Arabidopsis thaliana: one gene and its partner. The protein of the gene in region 1 interacts with the protein of each later gene in a pairwise test. Each region holds a gene or a part of one and is shown on either strand. Other genes may lie near its edges. The genes, in order: AGL99 and AGL52.

Region 1 (4,749 bases):
TAGAAACACTCTTTACTTTCAAACAAGGTTTAAGTCAGAATTGATTATATGAGTCTAGATTCACCTATAACCATAGGCTGATTGTTACAACTAATAGGCAAATAGTCGATGAAAGCTTTAAACAGGAGTGTCCCAGATCTTTAATGCTGATAATTACTAATTAGATAACAATAAGGATGTATAATGAAAATAGAAAAAAAACAAAAAAAGTAGTTGTTGTATTTGGACCTACAGGCTACATATTTAACATATCACCGTGAAATTTACCTGTTAGAATGATAATTTGGGAGTCTAGGAATTGTGTGATCAGTGCATGTCTTTGTTTTTATTTATTGCGTTCAACTGTTCCTTTAATAAATTAGTAACATGGGAAAGCCAAATGTCGCAGAAAGCCATTTATTTACTCACTTTCCAATTTTGGTAGACCCAAAAACAATGAATAAAATCGTGTCATCTTTCAGCTAATCAGAATTCAACATCTTATTATACTTTGAGAAAAAACAAAAAAGAAACTCGAATAAACGTGTTTGACTTGGTTGGAATTCAATTTACTTGTCAGAAATTTCAACTGTTCTTCATGAGTGGTATTATATATGTCATAAATTAAGGGTTCTTCTGCAATTTTTTTTTCTTTTTCTCATCATCTGGCTTTTATACACTGATAAAGCCATATAGCTACAAAAAAGTGAGGGTCTAAACTACAGGAGACAAAACAAACTCCCTACACTAAACAAACTCAACAACGGACTGCAAATATCAGTTCACAAAAAGAACTTTAGCCCATGAAACGAAACTGCATTAACAAACAGAGATGCAAGTCCTTTCTTCCTCAAAAACTCTTACCAGGCAGCTTGGAGGACCCATTGCCACATACGACTGCAGTCTCAGATCTCCTGTCACACTTTTAGCAATAAGATTTGCTCCCCTGTTTGCACCAAAAGTTTCCAAAACCATCATCTTCCACACCTGGAACTAAACAAAAAACTCTTTAAAGCAAAAGATTGAGCTTTAAAAGAGGGGCCAAGCCTGCGGCCTATTAACTGCTTCTACCAATCCTTTTTCTTGGCAAGCAAAAAAAAACTCTCATGACTTTGTGACTTGACATGCTTTCAATAGACCAAAGCAAAACTCTTAGCTTTGCATCCTCTACACTTCTTATACTAAATATCGCCCGGCGACTGTGAAGTAAAACCACCCAACTCATTTCTTAACACCCAAGCTCCCCCTACATTGCATTTGAACCAATTACAAGGTGTTTTTTCCCAAACTTTCCCCGCCATATAAACACTTCTCTGCATCACGTTTTGAATGGAATCAATTAGCACCGGTTCTTCTGCAATTTGTTATGGAGCCATTCTGCTCTATTTTGGTAAAGCTTTATCTGTTTTCAAGTTATGAAGTAATCACAAAATACTGGCCTAGATGATGACTGGTTTTGGTACTTAATAAGAAAGCAGAGACATTCCTAATCAAAGATTGTCAGACAGATGTTTTCTGTTGTAAGACTCAATATTGGTTTTAATATTATTTGTTGGTTAGATTAGAAAACATCCCACAGTTAAACAAGACACAAGTTGATACAAGAAAAAAAGAGTAGTAAGACTCATTGGTTTTAAACTTTTAATATAAGAAGAAAACATCACACATATAAAACAAGACAAGTTGATAGAAAAGACTACAAAACTTAAAAGAAAAAAGGATGGTTTCTTCATTAGTTAAGGCAAACCAAAACTGAACCGGTTTGAGTTAGATCAACATCCCAGAAATCCAATGAAGCATGGAAAATTGATTGAAGTCAAACCGGAACCTTCCTTGAGTAAAGTATCTCTAACGAAAATAAACCGAAGCAATCCTTGAAACATCTGTTATCTTGGAGGGAGTTTCAAATATCAGCAATGTAAGTCACTGAAATAATCAGAAAAGCAGAGATTATCCTCCGGTAAATCTTTTTGAATCATTAATCCTCCATCTTCAACAGCTTCAGGATTTGAGCACAGATTTTGCTTTGTAGTCACCATCGAGGCATAATCCTCCATCTCACAACTCTTCAAAAGGCTTTCATAGTTTGTCTCAAAATCAAGTAGCTGATCAAGATCTAGCTCTTGATCGAATTCATCCAAGTTTTCAGGTAAAACATTGTTCTTGTCAGAAATCATTAGCATCGTATCCTTGTCGTCCATATCAGACACGTGGATATTGTCCTCATCCATATTTTTGTGAACAACCAATTCTCTATCTTCAACAGTTTCAGAAGCAGAGACGGGGTTTTGATTCGTGGTCACCACAGAGACATCGTCCATGTCCAAGTTCATCGATAGAGCTTCAGCTGTTGACACATAATCAAATATTTCATCAAGATCAAATTCTTCAGTGTTCTTGTTAAACCCATCGAAATTCACAGAACATGATTCAGGATTAAAGGTTTGCTTTTGATGAGTTCCGTGTAAAACACCCTTCTTCTTCACGTCCTCCTCACAATCTCGTTGATTCTGCAAATCCTTCAGATCTTTCAACATCTTCGACATCGAGTCCATTGCGTCTCTCAGTTCCTCCAGGTCCTCTGATTTTGAAAGCCTCTCATCTTCCCACCAATAGTCTAACCCTAGACCTTCCCGAGGACGCTGATTCGTGAGGAAAGCGGCTACAACGTTATCAACAGAGGAATGGCCAAAGGTGTAGAAAGAAACGTTTGATTTGGAAGAGACCGGAGTGGCTATGATCGCAATTTGTGCATCGGAGAGAAGACAAAGATCAGAGGCTTTGCTATATAGACCCCTACTGCGTTTTGAGAAAGCAACAGCTCTTGAATCTTTCTTCTCTATCAGCTCTATAGAAATCTTTCTCTTCACGCCCCCCATTCTGTGTTCACGATTTCACAGACAAAGAAAGAGAAGGAGAAAAAGACAGAGAGATTTTTGTGTTAGCCTGTTGCGAAAGAATATGATATGGCTACTCTCTGTTTCTAATCGTGTATATATAGACTCTGTGTTGTTACTCGTTTCTAATCAATCGACTATATTTCCTTTTTCTGACAATTAGCTAATCAGTGATTAAACGAACTAAGTATAATTATTTTCCTTTTTTGAAAGTAATGACTCTTAAACCGCCTGAGACGAACCAAACTAAGTACAATCGATTTCCTTTTTTGAAAACTTAACTCGAAAAGCACCTGAAACTAACCATGGCTGGTTCAGTTAAACCATCGATTCTATTTCCTTTTCGTGATAATCTACTAATCACTAATTAATCCAATAAGTATATGTTTCCTTTTCCTTTGTCAAAGAAATTTCCTTTTCTGAAAGAGTGATTTAATCGAAAATTTGGTTCAGTAATAAACAGTTATTTGGTTTAGTCAAACCATCTAAATTATTAGTTTATACTAGCTTAATTTGAAGACATGCAATAATGCAAACCAACTAAAACAAACGTAAATCGAATATGCATGGCTCTATTTAGTAATTGAAGAGTAGGAAAACATTTAATTAAACCAAAGCAAATTAGACAAAATGCGAATTTTCTCTCTTGAACCGGGTTTGGTCAAGTTAAAAGAATCAAAGACGTGGAATCAACGAAACTTAAACCCTAGCTTTAACCCTCGCTCTCAACGGATTCTTCATCACCACCGCGAACACCAATTTGCCGGTGAAATCCACTTGGCTCTCCGGCGGGTACGAGCTCCACTCAAACTCTTGAACCATCCTCGACAGCATTAGCTCCACGTGTACGACCGCCATTCCAAGCCCCGGACAAATCCGACGGCCAATTCCGAACGGCATCATTTTAACTCCGGCGACTCCGGTTAAATCGGCGTCTTCTCCACCTGTTATAAACCGGTCCGGATCAAATTTCTCCGGTTTAGACCATATCTTCGGGTCTTCACTTATACCGGGAAGATAAAACTCAACATTAGCCCCGACGGGAATATCGTAACCCGCGAGATTAGTCGGCTCCGTAACGCCGTGAGTTAACGTGAAATACGTCGGTGGATGTCTCCGGAGAAGCTCCTTAACAAAAGCTTGTAAAAAGACCATTTTATTCAAATCTTTCTCCTCAACCGTTCGATCATCTCCCACCGTTGATTTAATCTCATCGTACAGCCGAGATTGAATCTTCGGATTCGATATCAGCTCCGCGATTCCCCACTCTATCGCCGTCCCCGTCGTATCCGTACCGGCGTTGAGAAACTCTGAACACAGCGTCACGAGATCTTCATCTGACGGTGACGTTTCACGACCATCAACTCTGAGATCGAATAAAGTATCAAGATACGCGAAAGACGACGCCGTTTTATCGGAGCCGAGATTTCGAATCGCTAATCGTCGTTTCTCGATGAATCCAACGACGAATTGGACAAGTTTCCGGCGAAGTTCCAGAGAATTTTTCCTCTCCTTGAAGTAAAACGGAGTTAGAATCGGAAGATAGTCGTGAATTCGTGGATCAACGGCGGTTAAAATCTCCGTCATCATCTGATCCATCTTCTCAATCGATTCTTCTTCCATTTTAACTCCGAAACACATATCTAACAAGATACAAAAAGCAGCGAATCTAGCGTTTCTTAGAACCCAGACGAGCCCGTCGTTTTCCTTAGCTTCAGATTTGATCTTCTCCACGAGCTTATCAATGGCGGATTTTCTAATTGAACCAAATTCCTTTAACCGGTTAGAGCAGAGCATGTTTTGAACCATGTTCCGTCTCAGTGATCGCCACACGGGACCGTACATAGCGGAATGAACGGTGATATCGCTAGAA
Region 2 (16,326 bases), on another chromosome or scaffold:
TGAGCAGTTGCCTTATCACTCTTCTCTTCTAGCATCTTATGCATATCAGAGTCTTCATGTGTTTGACAATAAACTGCTAAAGACGAAAGATCGAAAATCAGAGTAGATATTCCAGGGAATGGGCAAGTGCATTTGATGGAAGGGTATCTGATGCTTTGGAGAAAAGACGAAGCAGTAGAACTCTCTTCTCTAGTCTTTTCCTGCGAAGAACTTGGCTTAGATGTTGACAAAGAGGCTGCTCGCTCGTAGTTCTTCAAATAAAATGGTTTCCTCTCTTCGTCTACTGGGAAAAGCAAAGAGGAAACTGATGTATTTCCATTTAAGACAGTACCAGAATGAGATTTCTCACTAATGCCTGCACAGAAATGATCAAACATTGAATGTGAAGCTGCCCCATGGAGTACACGTTCTCGAGCACCTGTTTTCACATCCCAAATGTATAAGACATCAATTGGATCTGATTTTCTCGAAAGGGAGCGAAAAAGACATGCAATGTAGCCTCTTGTACCATCCCATACAACTTTTGTAGGATAGTTTGGGTGCCCAGGAAACATCCTTTCGACCCGCAAAGTCTCAAGAGAAGAAAGAGCAACACATGAATCATCCCCAACAGATAGAAAGCACTTGCTCCATGGGCGTTTTGTTGGAGCTGGGGATAGAATGATCTGGCGCACTGGAGCAACATGATGATGCATGATCATGATAACATTTCCGCTTTCGAGATCCCAAATGCGGATGGTACAGTCCATACTTCCGGAGATCAAAACATGAGAAGAATTACATCCATTTGCATCCCCAAACATTCGATGCGCTGCTAAGCATAGAACAGATCCTGTATGTCCCAATAGACGCTGTTTATAGACGAGTGGATCAGTATCTGATCTCGGGCTTGAAGCAGGAGAATCAATTCCATGAAGAAAATCAAACTTTGCAATCTCTATCTCACCACTAAAGAAACCATAGACAACAGCATATGGGACATACATATTCTCAGAAATAACCATGGACGATGACACACACTGTCCATTGTCACTAACAAAGCTTTGTAGATCATTTTTGGCACTGCACTGACTTCCTGACTGCGAAGTACCAGTTTCTGCACTAACCGAGCCCTTGGGATCTAAACAGGAGCTTGAAATCCAATCAGCAAAATAGGAGCTTTCTCCAAGCACTTTGCGCTGAAGTTCTTTTTCTTTACCATTTCCTAGGCACAATGACCAGATCGTTATATGGGGCCTCCACTGAGAAGGTTGTTCAACATCACAACAACTAGACTCAACGCGAAGAAGATTCTGCCTCAACTGAACAAAACAAAACGTTGATTTCACGGAACGCTTATCATCAGGGGCAGTAACAATCTCACCGAAGTTTTTATATGTAAATTCACCATCTATATATGACATAGTAAACAGCACAGCAGAACCACTACCATCCCACAGCACAAAAGTTTCAGAAATACTATCATCTTTATCACCTTCAATAGTTGATGTACTAGAGTAAAGTATCATTGCTTCTTTGAACAGAAAATTTGAAGAATGCGAATCATCAACAAAAGATATCTCTCCTATTGCCTCCTCGCGATTCAACAACCAAAAGACACACCTACTCTTCGAGAAAAACGCAACAAGATCCCCTCGAGTTATTACTGATACAGCAATTTCCCCTTCACTCAACCAGTTTCTAGACACTAGAGAGCCTTTGCTCGGTTCAGATTTCTCTGACACTGAGACCAACTGCAACCTACCAAACGAATCAGCCATAAGCAATGATTCCTGCTCATCTAACTGAACCACGCCCATAAAATTCAAACAACCAATAGATAAATTCCCATGGAAAACTGTATGAACAATAGTAAGAGTGTAAGTATCAACAACAACCACCGTGCATCTCGACTTCTGAAAATCAGTATCTGCTAAAGTCTCAGCCCCATCAACATCGATATAAGAACAACCAACACATACATATCTAGGCTCTGATGGCAAAGTAGACAAAATCGATGGACTTCCAACCCAAGGAGGTAATTTTCTTCGTTTCCTACACTGACCACTACTTCTACTCCATACACACAAGACACCATCAGTACAAGCACTGATCAATGCACAACAGTTAACAAATGGATCCGCATTACCATTATCTGATGCAACAACTCCATTACTTGAAAGTATTGTAGGATCACAAATAGCAAGATCCACTATTGGTGAAGTATGGCCACACAACATAGCAATCGGTTTAATCTCATGATGAGGGAGACGAGTTACAGAATTGGATTCGGAAGAAGAAGAGATGCTCCACCAGATGATTGACCCATCGGATCCACCGGTATAGAGAGTCGGTGGATTGGTTAGAGAGGCTGTGGCGGTGACCCGATGAGACGGAGGAGCACGAGACCATAGGCAGGCCACAGATCGGCACTTCATCGGCTTGAATCAAGCGGTACAAGCATCGACCGAGTCAGTGAACGAGTCGGGGTGAGAGAAGAAGGAAGAACGAACTGGTAAACGACGTCGTAACAGTAATCACGACAAATATATCTGTACATATTTAGATGGATTTTTCGAGGTTGCAAATAAATTTTTTAAGGTAAATATTTGGCAAAAGTTTGATAATTGATATTTTAACTTTACTAGATTATTATCAACTTAAAATACTTAAATCTGTGTATTGGACGACGGGTCCTAATCTAGTCAATATATAAATTATAACTTGTTAAAATATATCATAGTCTAAATTCACAAATCACATTGTATTTGCTAAACTATGAGTAAACGATTACGATATAAACAAAATGAGTAGAAAATGATTATTTTAAATTATTGTAGTTCTCTATAAATATCTTTACCATTAGTTTTCTTTCCTTTTTTCAGTATTATTCTTTTGTCAACTAATTTATTTGTTAAAAAATCTGGACTTATCAAGAATCAATCTTATGTTAAAAAATAAAATCAAAAGGAAATTAGAAAATAAAATAAAATCTAATTACCTTTTTGTTTTTGGTTATATGACCTAGTAGAGGTATTAAAACGTTCTTAAAAGAAAAAAAAAATCCCAAACACAGCAAAAAAAAAAAAAGCCTAGAGGAATAGAATCGGTCTCTTTCTCTATAATCTCTCTCTCTCTCTGACTTGTTTGTGTTCTCTCAAATCCTCTGATAAGAATCAATGGCCAAGGAATTAGCAGAGAAAGCTAAAGAAGCTTTTCTAGATGATGACTTCGATGTTGCTGTTGACTTATACTCCAAAGCCATTGACTTGGATCCCAATTGCGCCGCCTTCTTCGCCGATCGTGCTCAGGCCAACATCAAAATCGATAACTTCACTGGTATAAATATAACTCTCTTCCTTACCGTTAATATCATCGTTAAAGATTGAAACTTTATTAGATGTATTGCTTCGTTGACGCTTTTGGGGTTCTGGGTCTTGTTCTTTTGTCGTTACTTTAATTCGATCTGTTGATAGTGGAACAAAGTTTTGATTTTTGTTATTGGTTTGGTTTAGTTTTAGTTTTAGGGTTTCTTTTGTGAGGTTGTTGATTCGGATAAGAAAACTTATTTGAGTAATTGTAATTGTAGTTACTGTACTTTGATTGAATTGTTGTTGTTTGATGATTTGATTTGATATTTTATCTTTTTGTGGTTTCTATGAGCAGAAGCTGTTGTAGATGCGAACAAAGCCATTGAGTTGGAGCCAACGTTGGCAAAAGCCTATCTCAGAAAGGGGTATGATATTTTCACCATCTCTCTGTAGTGAATGATTTGATGTTATGTTCAAATTTGATTGGAATTATAATTCTATCTTCTGATTCTTTGCTACTGTGTTCGCAGCACTGCTTGTATGAAGCTAGAAGAATATAGTACTGCTAAAGCAGCCCTGGAAAAGGGAGCTTCTGTTGCACCGAATGAACCAAAGTTTAAGAAGATGATAGATGAATGCGATCTTCGTATTGCAGGTATGTTACATCAACTCCATAGCTTAAGAAATTAGTTACTAAACGATTTTGGGTATTTGTCTGCGCCTAGGGCTATAATTTTGATATAGTCTTTGTATCTCTGTTCAGAAGAAGAGAAAGATTTGGTTCAGCCGATGCCACCGAGTTTGCCTTCAAGCTCTACAACACCACTAGCAACGGAAGCTGATGCTCCTCCTGTTCCAATTCCTGCAGCACCTGCCAAACCGATGTTCAGGTAGTCTGGTTATCTAACATGTAAATTCTTCTTTAATTTCCAGAATCATTTTATACTCATAACTTTATTGCTCAACAGGCACGAGTTCTACCAGAAACCAGAAGAAGCGGTGGTGACAATTTTCGCCAAAAAAGTACCTAAGGAGAACGTAACTGTCGAGTTTGGTGAGCAGATTGTGAGTATCCTTCAATCAGAGAATTCATGACTTTTATCTGAACTTCAGAAACTATCTCTCTTTGTAATTTAACACTGTATTGATTTGAGATGTCTATCTTGGCTTTATTTTGGTGCAGCTGAGTGTTGTCATTGATGTTGCTGGAGAGGAAGCTTATCATCTCCAGCCGAGATTGTTCGGGAAGGTATATTTTATTTGACATATGTAATTACGGTGTTTTCACACACACTTTTACTAAATCCTTCTTCATGGGTGTTTTTCAGATAATACCAGAGAAGTGCAGATTTGAAGTATTGTCGACCAAAGTTGAGATCCGTCTTGCGAAAGCAGAGATAATCACCTGGGCCTCCCTTGAATATGGTAAAGGGCAAAGTGTTTTGCCCAAACCCAATGTCTCATCAGGTTTGTCTCAGAAGATACCAGCTTACGTTTACTATTTTATTCTGAACCACAATCGTAAAACCTTAAACAAACTGAACCCAAAGTGGTCTCTCTCTCTTCTCATTTGATTTTATGTGCATATGCAGCGCTGTCGCAGAGACCAGTGTACCCATCTTCTAAGCCAGCAAAAGACTGGGACAAGTTGGAAGCTGAAGTGAAGAAACAGGTTCCACAAACGCTAACTTCTCATCCTTAACACTAGAGGCTTTGCTGTACTTTGTTCTTTCTGCTTATCACTTTTGAATTTCGCAGGAGAAGGATGAGAAGCTTGATGGAGATGCAGCTATGAACAAATTTTTCAGCGACATATACTCGAGTGCAGATGAAGACATGAGGCGGGCAATGAACAAATCATTTGTGAGCAAATCTATCTTTGGTCTTTAAAATTTTGGTTTAATAACTCTGCTTTGTTCTTCGACTAATGAGATTTTCCTCTCGGGTGGTTTTTGGGTTTGACAGGCAGAGTCGAATGGGACGGTACTGTCGACAAACTGGAAAGAAGTTGGGACTAAGAAAGTGGAGAGCACTCCACCAGATGGCATGGAGCTCAAGAAGTGGGAGTATTGATCTTCTTAAAATCCCCTTTTCTGGTTTTTGTTAAAAAAAAGTCTGACAAATCTTTTGAACTTTTAAGGTGTTTTTCTTTTTTGGTTTCTGCTCGAATTTGTCTCTCTCCATTCTTGCGTTGTGGTCTCAAAGAACGTTCTGATACTTTGATTTTGTATTAGAAAACTAAAACTCGCAAGTCTGTTGTTTTGGAACTTTGTTCTTTTATCGAGAGGCTTATCTAAATATTTCTTGACATAATTGCATTGTGGTCTAAAAGGTTAGTTGTATAAGCCCAACTTTCTTTAGTTAAAACCGATGTGCATCTATATAGTGAGACAGTATTTTCACCTTTGGGGTTCCTGGTCTAGGAACACTGTTGTTGAATCCAAATCTTTCTTTCTTCTCAAATGCCTTAAGGATTTGAAATGAACATGTTAAGCTATCATCAACACTCATCAATGCACCAGCATTGTCAAACTCGCCACAGTAATTGGGTGCAGAGAATTTGTCTTCACGAAATCAGAGCTACTTTCCATCTTCATGTATATATTAGCTGATTCAGACAAGAAGGATACTAAGTTACAAGTTTGTTATAAGATGCAAGAGTAAAGGATTTCACTTTGCAGGTTGTATCAACCAATTGAAACAGTCTTGTCACCATAAGTGATTTTAGATTATAATTTGTTTCATGCAAGTTTTTGTGAAAGACTTTTATGGAAGTTCATATATATATATATATATATATATATAATACTAACTGAAATACCAACTTAAAAGTAAAAACAAAATCTCCACAAATGGATCTGTTTTACAGTTATAACAACACTGTAAAATAAAAAAAGACAGTAGCAGGAAGAATTCAGAAGCAAAAACAGCTTCAATCTCTCTCTGATCAGCTTCCTACTTATAAGTATTGACTGACTCTTAATGAAGCTTCAAAAAACAAATCCTTTTGGACAGATTTGTTAGCAGAGAAGTCTTGAGTTGTCAGAAAAACAATAGCTGTTAGGAATGTTGTGGAGAGGTGGCAGAGAAGATGTCTGTAGCAAACTGCTCCCATCATAGCTCGAAAACATATCTTGAGAGAAGCTAGTGTTACCATAAGGGAATTCATGTGGAACAGTGTTTGAGAGATTAGGATGTTGTAAACCGTTGTTGTTATTGATGATTTCACTCATCATACACAAGTTCTGATCAAAACCATGAAGCTGATCCTGTTGCTGCATCAAGTGATTATTCAACCCGTAGTTATTCGCCGAAAGTAACGGTGAGTAGTCTTGTGTGTTTGACACGCCAGGATGTTGAAAGTTGTTGTTGTTGGTGATGTTGTCCAAACACATGTTCTGACCAAAACCATGCTGCATCTGGTAATTGATGAGTTGATTGGATTGTGAAGCAGACAGTGGGAGTTGTGAGAGAGTAGCATCTCCATGGTTGTACATATACAGCGAGAACTTGCTAGGATCCAAGTGTTGTGTCTGGTTCAGATACGATGGTGTTAAACTCTGATGCACCAAGTTTGTGTTCTGTTTTTTCTGCGACTCAACAATACGAAGCCTTTTTTGGAGAGTAGAAAGTGTTCGTTCTAAGGACTGAATCAATTGAGAGAGTTGTTGAGGAGAGTAATGATCAAAGTTTGGATACCAATTAGGGTTCTTCACATAATTCGTCTTCCCCTTATACTTGTCTTTGTCCTTCACCTTCTCTTTCTCGAGGAACTCATGAAGATTGAGGCACTTCTTGCGTTTTCTGTCCTCTTTATACCTCAAAGCCATATTTTTCACTGTCTCTCTATCCTTAGGCCATGTTCTCAGATCACCGTCTGGTCCGTAATAGATGACGCAAACGTCAATAGCACAGAGAATCGAAAGCTCTTCTGCTTTCTTAAAGATTGTTTTAAGTCTGTTTGTTAAACTTGTTGGATTACATGACGAAGAAGAAGAAGCTTGCTTCATCGTGATTTTGCCTTGATTCGCCAAGCAAGAAACTAGGGTTTTTTTTTTCTCCGACAGAGAGATAACACACAAAGAAGAAGCAGAATTGTGGAATTGATGGTGAAAGATTGTGAAACTTCACTCAATATGTTTATATAGATTGCCTTGGTGCCTACGGGAACAAGCATACGCGTCGGCGACGCGTGAAGAAGATAAAAGCAGTATCTATCCTCAAATCTAGGTTACCTCTTCTCTTATTATTTAGCTTATAGTATATATTACGTCAAATAAGATAATTGTTTTTCAAGTTTCATTTTATTATTTTTATAAATTTTACGTTTATGTTTTTAGAATATGTTTCTAAAAGGTTAGTTGTATAAAACCCAACTTTCTTCAGTTGAAAATGCTGTGAACATCTTCCACAATTTTTACAAAAAAAATCTAAACAAAACATAATGTTGCCTCAACCATAAGAAAACAGATAACAATCTAACAAAACAAACTGTTTGCCTTACAAAATTCGAACCCGTCGGTTTCACTCGTTTCTTGAACCCATCGACGACGAGTTAACGACCTTTTCCACCCTGCAAGAATGTTAACATATCAAACCTGATATCTAACATCTACCTACATTGCATCTATATACAGGGGGATAGTATTTTCACACCTTATGAGGTGGGGTTCCTGGTCTAGGAACATTGTTGTTGAATCCAAATCTTCCTTTCTTCTCAGATGCCTTAAGGATTTGGAATGAACATGTTAAGCTATCATCAACACTCATCAATGCACCAGCATTGTCAAACTCGCCACAGTAATTGGGTGCAGAGAATATTGTCACTAGTTGTCTCTTTGCAAAGAACTCGTATCCATCTTCTACAACCTGCAGGAACAGTATAGTTAAGTAAAACTTGGCTTGGTGAAAAAACTACAGATCCTTGCATTAACAACTGAGTTATGATTTCTTAACCCTCTGAATTCAGAGAACAGTCACAGAGAAGAACAAACCAATCCAGAGAAATCAAAAGAGAGAACTCAAGGAATAAATTTTAGCTTTACCTGATGAGCTCGGCATATAAGATCAAGGTCATGAGTTTGAAGGAACTCAGCTACTTTGTCAGCCCCAAATGTATAAGAGACACCTCTGTCATTCTCCCCCCAGCCTTGAATCTCTCTGTCAGGATCAGCCCACAACAAATCACAAAGAATGCCCTGATCAGGAACGTCAATAGGACGAGGAATTCTCCTGATGTCATCTAAGCTCTTAATATCAGGCGATAGTCCACCATGCATGCAGAGGATCTTATCATCAATGAGAGCAGAAACAGGCAGACAGTTGAAGCACTCGGTGAATGTTTTCCATAAGCGAACATTATATCTTCTTTTGCATTCATCGTAGAATCCATATACACGGTTGATTGAAGCACATTCGTGATTGCCTCTGAGAAGAAAGAAGTTGAACTTGTATTTGACCTTATAGGCAAGAAGAAGGCATATCGTCTCTATGCTCTGCTTACCACGATCAACATAATCCCCAAGAAACAAGTAGTTCGCAGCTGGTGGATAACCACCATACTCAAACAACCGCAAGAGGTCTGGAAACTGACCATGAACATCTCCTGCTCATCAACATATAAACTTAAAACCATCAACAAAATTACAAATCATACAGTTATGATAGCAACAGAAGGGTTTAATATCTATCATACACCAAATTCAGCAACTAAACAAAACTATTAGCTATCAAATGAAGTAATAAGTCAAGCGAGATACCAACAACTGCTTATGCAACAGAGCTAAGGGACCATGGTTCCTCAAAGACACAAAAGTAAGAGGTCACTACTCACAATTCCGCAAGAAACACTAACTTAAAGTGGCAGAGCATTTAACTAATTCACAACATACACATCTTCAACCATTTCAATGTACACTTATATCCCAAAAATCTAAGCTTTAAGCTTCCCAAACAACAAACTTACAAAGCTAAACCCTTACATCAAAAAATGTAAAATTGATCAAAAACCCACAACACAAAAACGAATTCAAGATAAAGTAAACAGAGAGAAACATTTCTCTATTCAGTAACATTACCGCAAATCTTGATAGGAGCCTCGAGCTCGAGGAGATTAGGCTGACTGAGAAAAACCTCTTTTGAAGCTAAACATAGCTGACGTATCTCCGTCTCAGTAATCTGTGCTTGCTTCACCGTCCTTCCATTATTCGTCGCCAAAAGCCGTCGTATTATATCGTCAAGTAAAGTCTCATCCATCGTAGCAACAACCCTAATTTCTCTCTAACGCACAGAAATTAGATACCGGAAACTTCTCGTCTAACGAATCCAGAGAGATCCGACGATTGTTTTAACCGCCGACGTCTCTGGGTTCGTATCGTTGACGGAGAAGAAGATACAGAGAGCGTTAAGTAGAGAGAGGGAGAGAGACCCAAATTTCGTAAACCCTAGAAACTTTTATAATAAACGCGGTAATAATTATTTTTCATCATCCAAAACTCGAAGCCAAAGAAAGGAGCGGAGTGGTCACGTGACAAGTTCTCAGACGCACGTGCGATTGTTGTTGATTAGTCTGCATCCAGTTATGTGGTTTCATTTGGTTCAATTTAGGTTAGGATCGGTTTTGGACAAAAACTTATAATAAAAATAAAGATAACTAACTAATTTTAATTCATATTATAGTTTTAATATACTTAAATTTAAATTATTATATTTTGTGAATTTAGTTAAATGGGTTGGTTCCAAAAACTTTATATACAAGGCAAATTACTATACCGGTTAGGTTATAAAATTAATTTGGGTGGATCTCGATTCGATAATGTTGACCCTCCTTAATGTATGTGTTGAATGTATTATGAGAATTATGTTATTTTGGTTTAAATTGCTCACCAAAATACAATCTTAAATGTATTTGTGTCATATAAGTTTTTTTCTCTCTTAATTCTCTCAAATCTTTTAGAGATAAAAAACTTTGAATCTTGTTACTATCTTTTGCTAATCCGATTAACATCGGGCTTTAGATTTCGTTTTATGTTTTAGCTTTTCGTCTTCGTTCGTATCTATCTCCGACTTATTGTCGGTTTATCTTCCAAACTTTGTTTCGGTTATTAGTTTTAATCACATGTTTTTATTTTTGGCGGAAAAATCACGGGTTTATGTTTTTTAAAAAAAAATTTACGAGTTTACTTTTTCTCAATTTTATCGCTTATATATTTAAGAAATTTGGAAAAATAATGATTTATTAAATTGGTTTAGATGTGTTGGTTAAACTTAAATTGACATTGGTTTAGAGATTTTAATTAGTTTAATTCAATTTTACAAAACTTGATGTGTTAATTGGGTAAACCATTGAAACCATTAACCATTACAACCCAACTCATTTTACTCATCAAACCAATTAACTCATCAACTCATTTGACCCATTAACTCATTTGAGTCAAAATTTTCAACTCATTAGGGTTCATGGATTGAGTTGAGTTGAGACATTTTGATACCTCTAGTTTTAAACACTAAACAAAACAAATACAATTCAAATTCAAATTATTTAGTTGTGATATAGATTTTAACCAAATGAATTGTATTTTATTGTTTTTATATTTTAAAGAATAAAAATCAAATATAATAATTATACATTAATTAATATATAAAAATTCAAAACATTAAATCATATATATTTTTAATATGCTAAACAAATTAAATTTTTTTAAAAAAATATATAATTTCACAACAACAGCGAGTTAAGTATAATTAAAGTGTACCTAAAACATGCACAAAAATATAGTATAATTTTTTGTGTCGTAACTCGTAAATATAGTATAATTTAAAACCGTATTTTTAGAAACCAAACTTATTTTTATATTTTCGTTCTGCTTTGGTAATTTCCTCTGGTCGTTCCTTTGATTAGTACAAAAGACAAATTTTATAATAAACACAAAATTCAAAAACTGTATTTATTCAGTCTTCTCCCTCCTTGGCTTCTCTCCTCTCCTCCCAACAAATTCAAAATGTCAATGTCATTTTCCGGCGGGACTCACAACGATCGTTGGGGCTCCGATTTAGCTTCCGCCGGAGAATTCACCCAAAGCTTTCCATCCTTACCAGCAACATACTCACCCTCACCCTCCTCCTCCTCCTCCTCCGGCGAAGAGCTCCTAGAAGTAACAATCGAATTCCCAAGCGGCGTAATAATAAACATCGACTCCGTTACCGGAACCGGCACCGATATTTCAGGTACCGATCTAGAGATCACCTCTTGCTCGGATTCCGGTTCAGGATCAAGGTCGCTTAGCTTAGGATGGAGCGCGTCGTCGGAGAGACTGACGGCGGGGACGAACTCAAAGCAGCAGATCCAGAAGATCTCACGGCGTGGTTACGGTTATTCGTCTCGGTCTGCACCGGAACCGGTGGTTCCACACAGAGGCGAAATTACCGATTCGGTTAATCTCCCTCGAGCTTTATCTCAGCGACCAACTAGACCTAATCGGGATGGATCGGGTACAGAGAGAGCGATTCATGGTTTGAAATTCATAAGCAGCAAAGAAAATGGAATCGTTGATTGGAACGATGTTCAAAACAATTTCGCTCATCTTTCTAAAGATGGTTATCTTTTCAAAAGTGATTTTGCTCATTGCATAGGTTCGACATAATGATTTTCACAGTTTTGAAATTGAGTTTGACTCTGGAGAATCGATAGAGATTGTAAATTTTGTTGTTCTGTGTTTGAAAGGTTTGGAGAATGAAAATTCCAAAGAGTTTGCAGACGAGTTGTTCGACGCATTGTGTAGGAGAAGAAGAATAATGGTTGATAAGATCAATCTTCAAGAATTATACGAGTTTTGGTACCAAATTACAGACGAAAGCTTCGATTCTCGTCTTCAAATCTTCTTCAACATGTATTGTTATCAATTATCATCAAATCTTGTTAAACATATTGATCAACATGTAGCTAAAGTTCTTGATTTGTTTTTTCACTTTTTGAAACTTGCAGGGTTAAAAATGGAGATGGTAGAATCACAGAGAATGAAGTAAAAGAGGTTTTTTTTTTTTTTTTTACTTTTGTTCGATCTTCTTTGTTTAGTATTCTAATCAGCATTGACTAATGAATCTTACATGAGTCCCATTATCTTTATATGTTTTAGTATTGTATTATCCCTCTTGCTTAATTTTATAGAGCTACATGTTTTTTTTTTTTGGTTGGTTATGTTGGTCTTGATATTATTCTTTCTTATGTCTACCTTGTAACCAATGCAAGACTAGGAGATTTAAGTTGCAATTGTTTTTTCTGCATATAATTTGATTGACCTTGTAGCAGCTTTCTTAATTTAAGGAAGTGATTCTAACTACCAATGAAAAGATATTGTTTTTCTATATAACCACTAAGTTTAACGTTGAATCTTTCAAATAGAAGCTTCTCAATGGTATTAACTACTTTTTGTATGGTTTTCTATGATTTTGACAACCTATAGATTATTATACTAAGTGCATCGGCAAATAATCTATCGAGGTTGCGAGAACGAGCAGAGGAATATGCCGCACTGATCATGGAAGAACTTGCACCAGATGGACTCTATTCTCAGTACATAGAGGTGGTTCCATCACTTTTAACTCCCAATCTTGTTAAATGTCCTAACAGAAAACATGTTTAAATACCGTAAAACTTTTGATAGTGTGTAGATCAGTCTCTTTCTATGAGAGAGAGAGTAGAAGGGTTCTTTGTTAAGTTTGACCTTAGTAAGTGATGACGTTGAGCTCTCTTACCTTTCAAGTTCTCTGATAGGGACATTTGACTGAGTCAAAACCAATGAGCTTAAAGTTATGTGCTATGCAAGTTTGTTTTTGTATGGAATTAATATAATAAAAGGTTGACGAAGACAAAAATGTAGAGGTCCACATATAGAGCTTGAACAAATATTGTTATCAAAAATAATCTCTAGTGGTGTAGTGGCGTTTAAGTGTATGATTAAGAATTTAGATAATCTTACTGTGATTAGTAACAAATATTGTTTGAGAGACTGCCCACTTGCTTGAGACTGAGACAAGATAGGTAGTAGAACTCTGTCAACATTCTAATATGTTGTCTTTGTTATGGATTTGAAATGATGCAGTTAAAGGACCTAGAGATACTGCTACTAGAGAAGGACATATCTCATAGTTACAGCCTACCGTTCAGCCAGACGAGCCGAGCCTTAAGCCAGAACCTAAAGGATAGAAGATGGAGAATGAGCAGAAACTTGCTTTACTCTTTGCAAGATAATTGGAAGAGGATTTGGGTTTTGACATTGTGGTTTGTGATCATGGCCTGGTTATTTATGTGGAAATGCTATCAGTACAAACACAAAGACGCATTCCATGTAATGGGTTACTGCCTTGTCATGGCAAAAGGCGCAGCTGAGACACTGAAATTCAACATGGCTCTTATTCTTTTGCCGGTCTGTAGAAATACCATCACCTATCTCAGATCCACCGCTTTGTCCCACTCAGTGCCTTTCGATGACTGCATTAATTTTCACAAGGTTAATCATAAACCATTTTTTGTCTTGCCTTTCATAAGAAAGATACTATGCTTCAGCTGAATCCGACTTTCCGGTTTTTGCTTAAACGCAGACGATCTCTGTAGCAATCATTAGTGCAATGCTTCTTCATGCAACCAGCCACCTCGCCTGTGACTTCCCAAGGATTCTAGCATCTACTGATACAGATTACAAAAGATACTTGGTTAAGTACTTTGGTGTGACCAGACCCACATACTTTGGTTTGGTGAATACTCCTGTGGGAATCACTGGAATTATAATGGTTGCTTTTATGTTAATTGCATTCACATTAGCCAGTAGAAGATGCAGGCGGAACTTAACTAAGTTGCCGAAGCCATTTGACAAACTAACCGGATATAATGCCTTCTGGTATTCACATCACTTACTTCTAACTGTTTACGTCCTTTTAGTCATCCACGGTGTTTCCCTCTATCTCGAGCATAAATGGTACCGCAAAACGGTACATTCCATAAACTCTTTACCATTTTACTTTTTGCATGCTTACATAATTGGCTGTGGTAACAATAACATATACTGCATCCTACAGGTATGGATGTATCTTGCTGTACCAGTTTTACTCTATGTTGGTGAGAGGATCTTTAGATTTTTCCGTTCCAGGCTTTACACAGTCGAAATCTGTAAGGTAAAATCTCACTTACAGTTACATTTTGAACTGAATTACATGAAAAGACACATTGTCAATCATCTACTATTATCTCTATACCAACTCAAATGATTTGGTTTCAGGTTGTAATTTATCCCGGAAACGTTGTTGTGCTACGCATGTCTAAGCCTACATCATTTGATTACAAGAGTGGACAATATGTATTTGTTCAGTGTCCATCAGTATCAAAATTTGAGTGGTGAGTGTTTTATAGGGAACCAAAACAAGCCTAATAGCTTTCCTTGCAATCCTAGAACATATACAAACTCTGTTCTTTGACACCACAAAGACTAACTTAAAGATTCTCGGTCCTAAACTCCATCTCCAGGCATCCATTTTCTATTACTTCTTCCCCTGGAGATGATTATCTCAGCATTCACATTCGTCAGCGCGGTGATTGGACAGAAGGGATTAAGAAGGCATTCTCAGTGGTATGTCATGCCCCTGAAGCTGGAAAAAGCGGACTTCTCAGAGCAGATGTACCAAACCAAAGAAGGTGCATAAAATTCTTTAAAATTCAATATATTATTCTCAGAATGTGAATTTTGATACTCTCTCTTGTAATATAGTTTTCCAGAGCTGTTGATAGATGGACCTTATGGCGCTCCAGCGCAAGACCATTGGAAGTATGATGTGGTATTACTGGTTGGCCTTGGAATCGGCGCAACACCTTTCGTTAGCATTTTGAGAGATCTACTCAATAACATTATTAAGCAACAGGAACAAGCTGTGAGTATAACAAGCTTAAAAACCTTGTTGATGAGTAACAGAATCTCAACTAAACTTTTTTGGAGTTATGTTATATTCTCAGGAATGCATCTCAGGTAGTTGTAGTAACAGCAACATCTCGTCGGATCACAGTTTCAGTTGCTTAAACTCAGAAGCTGCGAGTCGGATTCCGCAAACTCAACGGAAGACGCTGAATACCAAGAATGCTTACTTTTACTGGGTAACACGAGAACAAGGCTCGTTCGATTGGTTCAAAGAAATCATGAACGAGATTGCTGATTCAGATAGAAAGGTAAAAACAATACACTTATTCATTTTAAATTCAAAAGATTGTATGATTTCAAGTTACTCACTGACGTATTTGTCTTGTGAACAACTACAAGGGTGTTATTGAGATGCACAACTACTTGACTAGCGTCTACGAAGAAGGAGATACTCGATCCAATCTTCTCACTATGATCCAAACGTTAAACCATGCCAAAAATGGCGTCGACATTTTTTCAGGAACCAAGGTAATGATCTTTAATGATTAGTTGATTACTTTATCACAAACAACACTCTTTTCTGATCTTGTATAACAACTTTTGGTTATTTTAGGTAAGGACACATTTTGGGAGGCCAAAATGGAAGAAAGTTTTATCAAAGATTAGCACCAAACATAGGAACGCAAGAATTGGTAACACACAGAAACATCAGTTCACTGAAATGATATTCGATATCGCGGTGTATATTTGCCTTGTCTGAAGAATGTTTTTTTGTTTGTTACAGGAGTGTTCTATTGTGGAGTTCCAAGTTTGGGGAAGGAACTTTCAACACTCTGCCATGAATTTAACCAGACGGGAATTACCAGGTTCGATTTCCACAAAGAACAGTTCTAACTGGTAAAAGGATTAATCCCCCACGATTATGGTTTTTTGAATGAATGAATCAATGTTCATGTTCGTTCTCGTATCCTACTTGTTGTGTTTTCTTTTCGTTTTGTGTATCACAAATACCAACTTTTAACCATTTCATCTAGAGTAGGACTGTTAAAAAATGTAAAAAGTCACAGTTAAAGCTTGTGAAGAAAAAAAGAGTGTAAAGGAGTAAAAATGAGAAATTCAAACAAAGGGGGATG

Evidence for each region.
Region 2: the proteins of AGL99 (region 1) and AGL52 interact in a two-hybrid assay, tested with the Arabidopsis thaliana proteins (one large-scale study listed by BioGRID).

What each region holds. Positions count from the first base shown.
Region 1 is NC_003076.8:1,330,934-1,335,682, reverse strand, and holds AGL99 (AGAMOUS-like 99), read right to left. Parts: upstream 2,925-4,749; 5' UTR 2,859-2,924; coding exon 1,890-2,858; 3' UTR 1,761-1,889; downstream 1-1,760. Other genes in the region: CYP77A9 (cytochrome P450, family 77, subfamily A, polypeptide 9), read right to left, coding at 3,576-4,749.
Region 2 is NC_003075.7:6,840,552-6,856,877, reverse strand, and holds AGL52 (AGAMOUS-like 52), read right to left. Parts: upstream 7,301-16,326; coding exon 6,311-7,300; downstream 1-6,310. Other genes in the region: AT4G11270 (Transducin/WD40 repeat-like superfamily protein), read right to left, coding at 1-2,417; SGT1B (phosphatase-like protein), read left to right, coding at 3,159-3,318, 3,646-3,715, 3,821-3,945, 4,054-4,180, 4,259-4,355, 4,474-4,539, 4,619-4,757, 4,883-4,962 and 2 more; TOPP7 (Calcineurin-like metallo-phosphoesterase superfamily protein), read right to left, coding at 7,846-7,863, 7,947-8,159, 8,336-8,895, 9,368-9,545; AT4G11230 (Riboflavin synthase-like superfamily protein), read left to right, coding at 11,291-11,921, 12,013-12,178, 12,274-12,319, 12,752-12,871, 13,391-13,798, 13,890-14,276, 14,364-14,459, 14,564-14,679 and 6 more.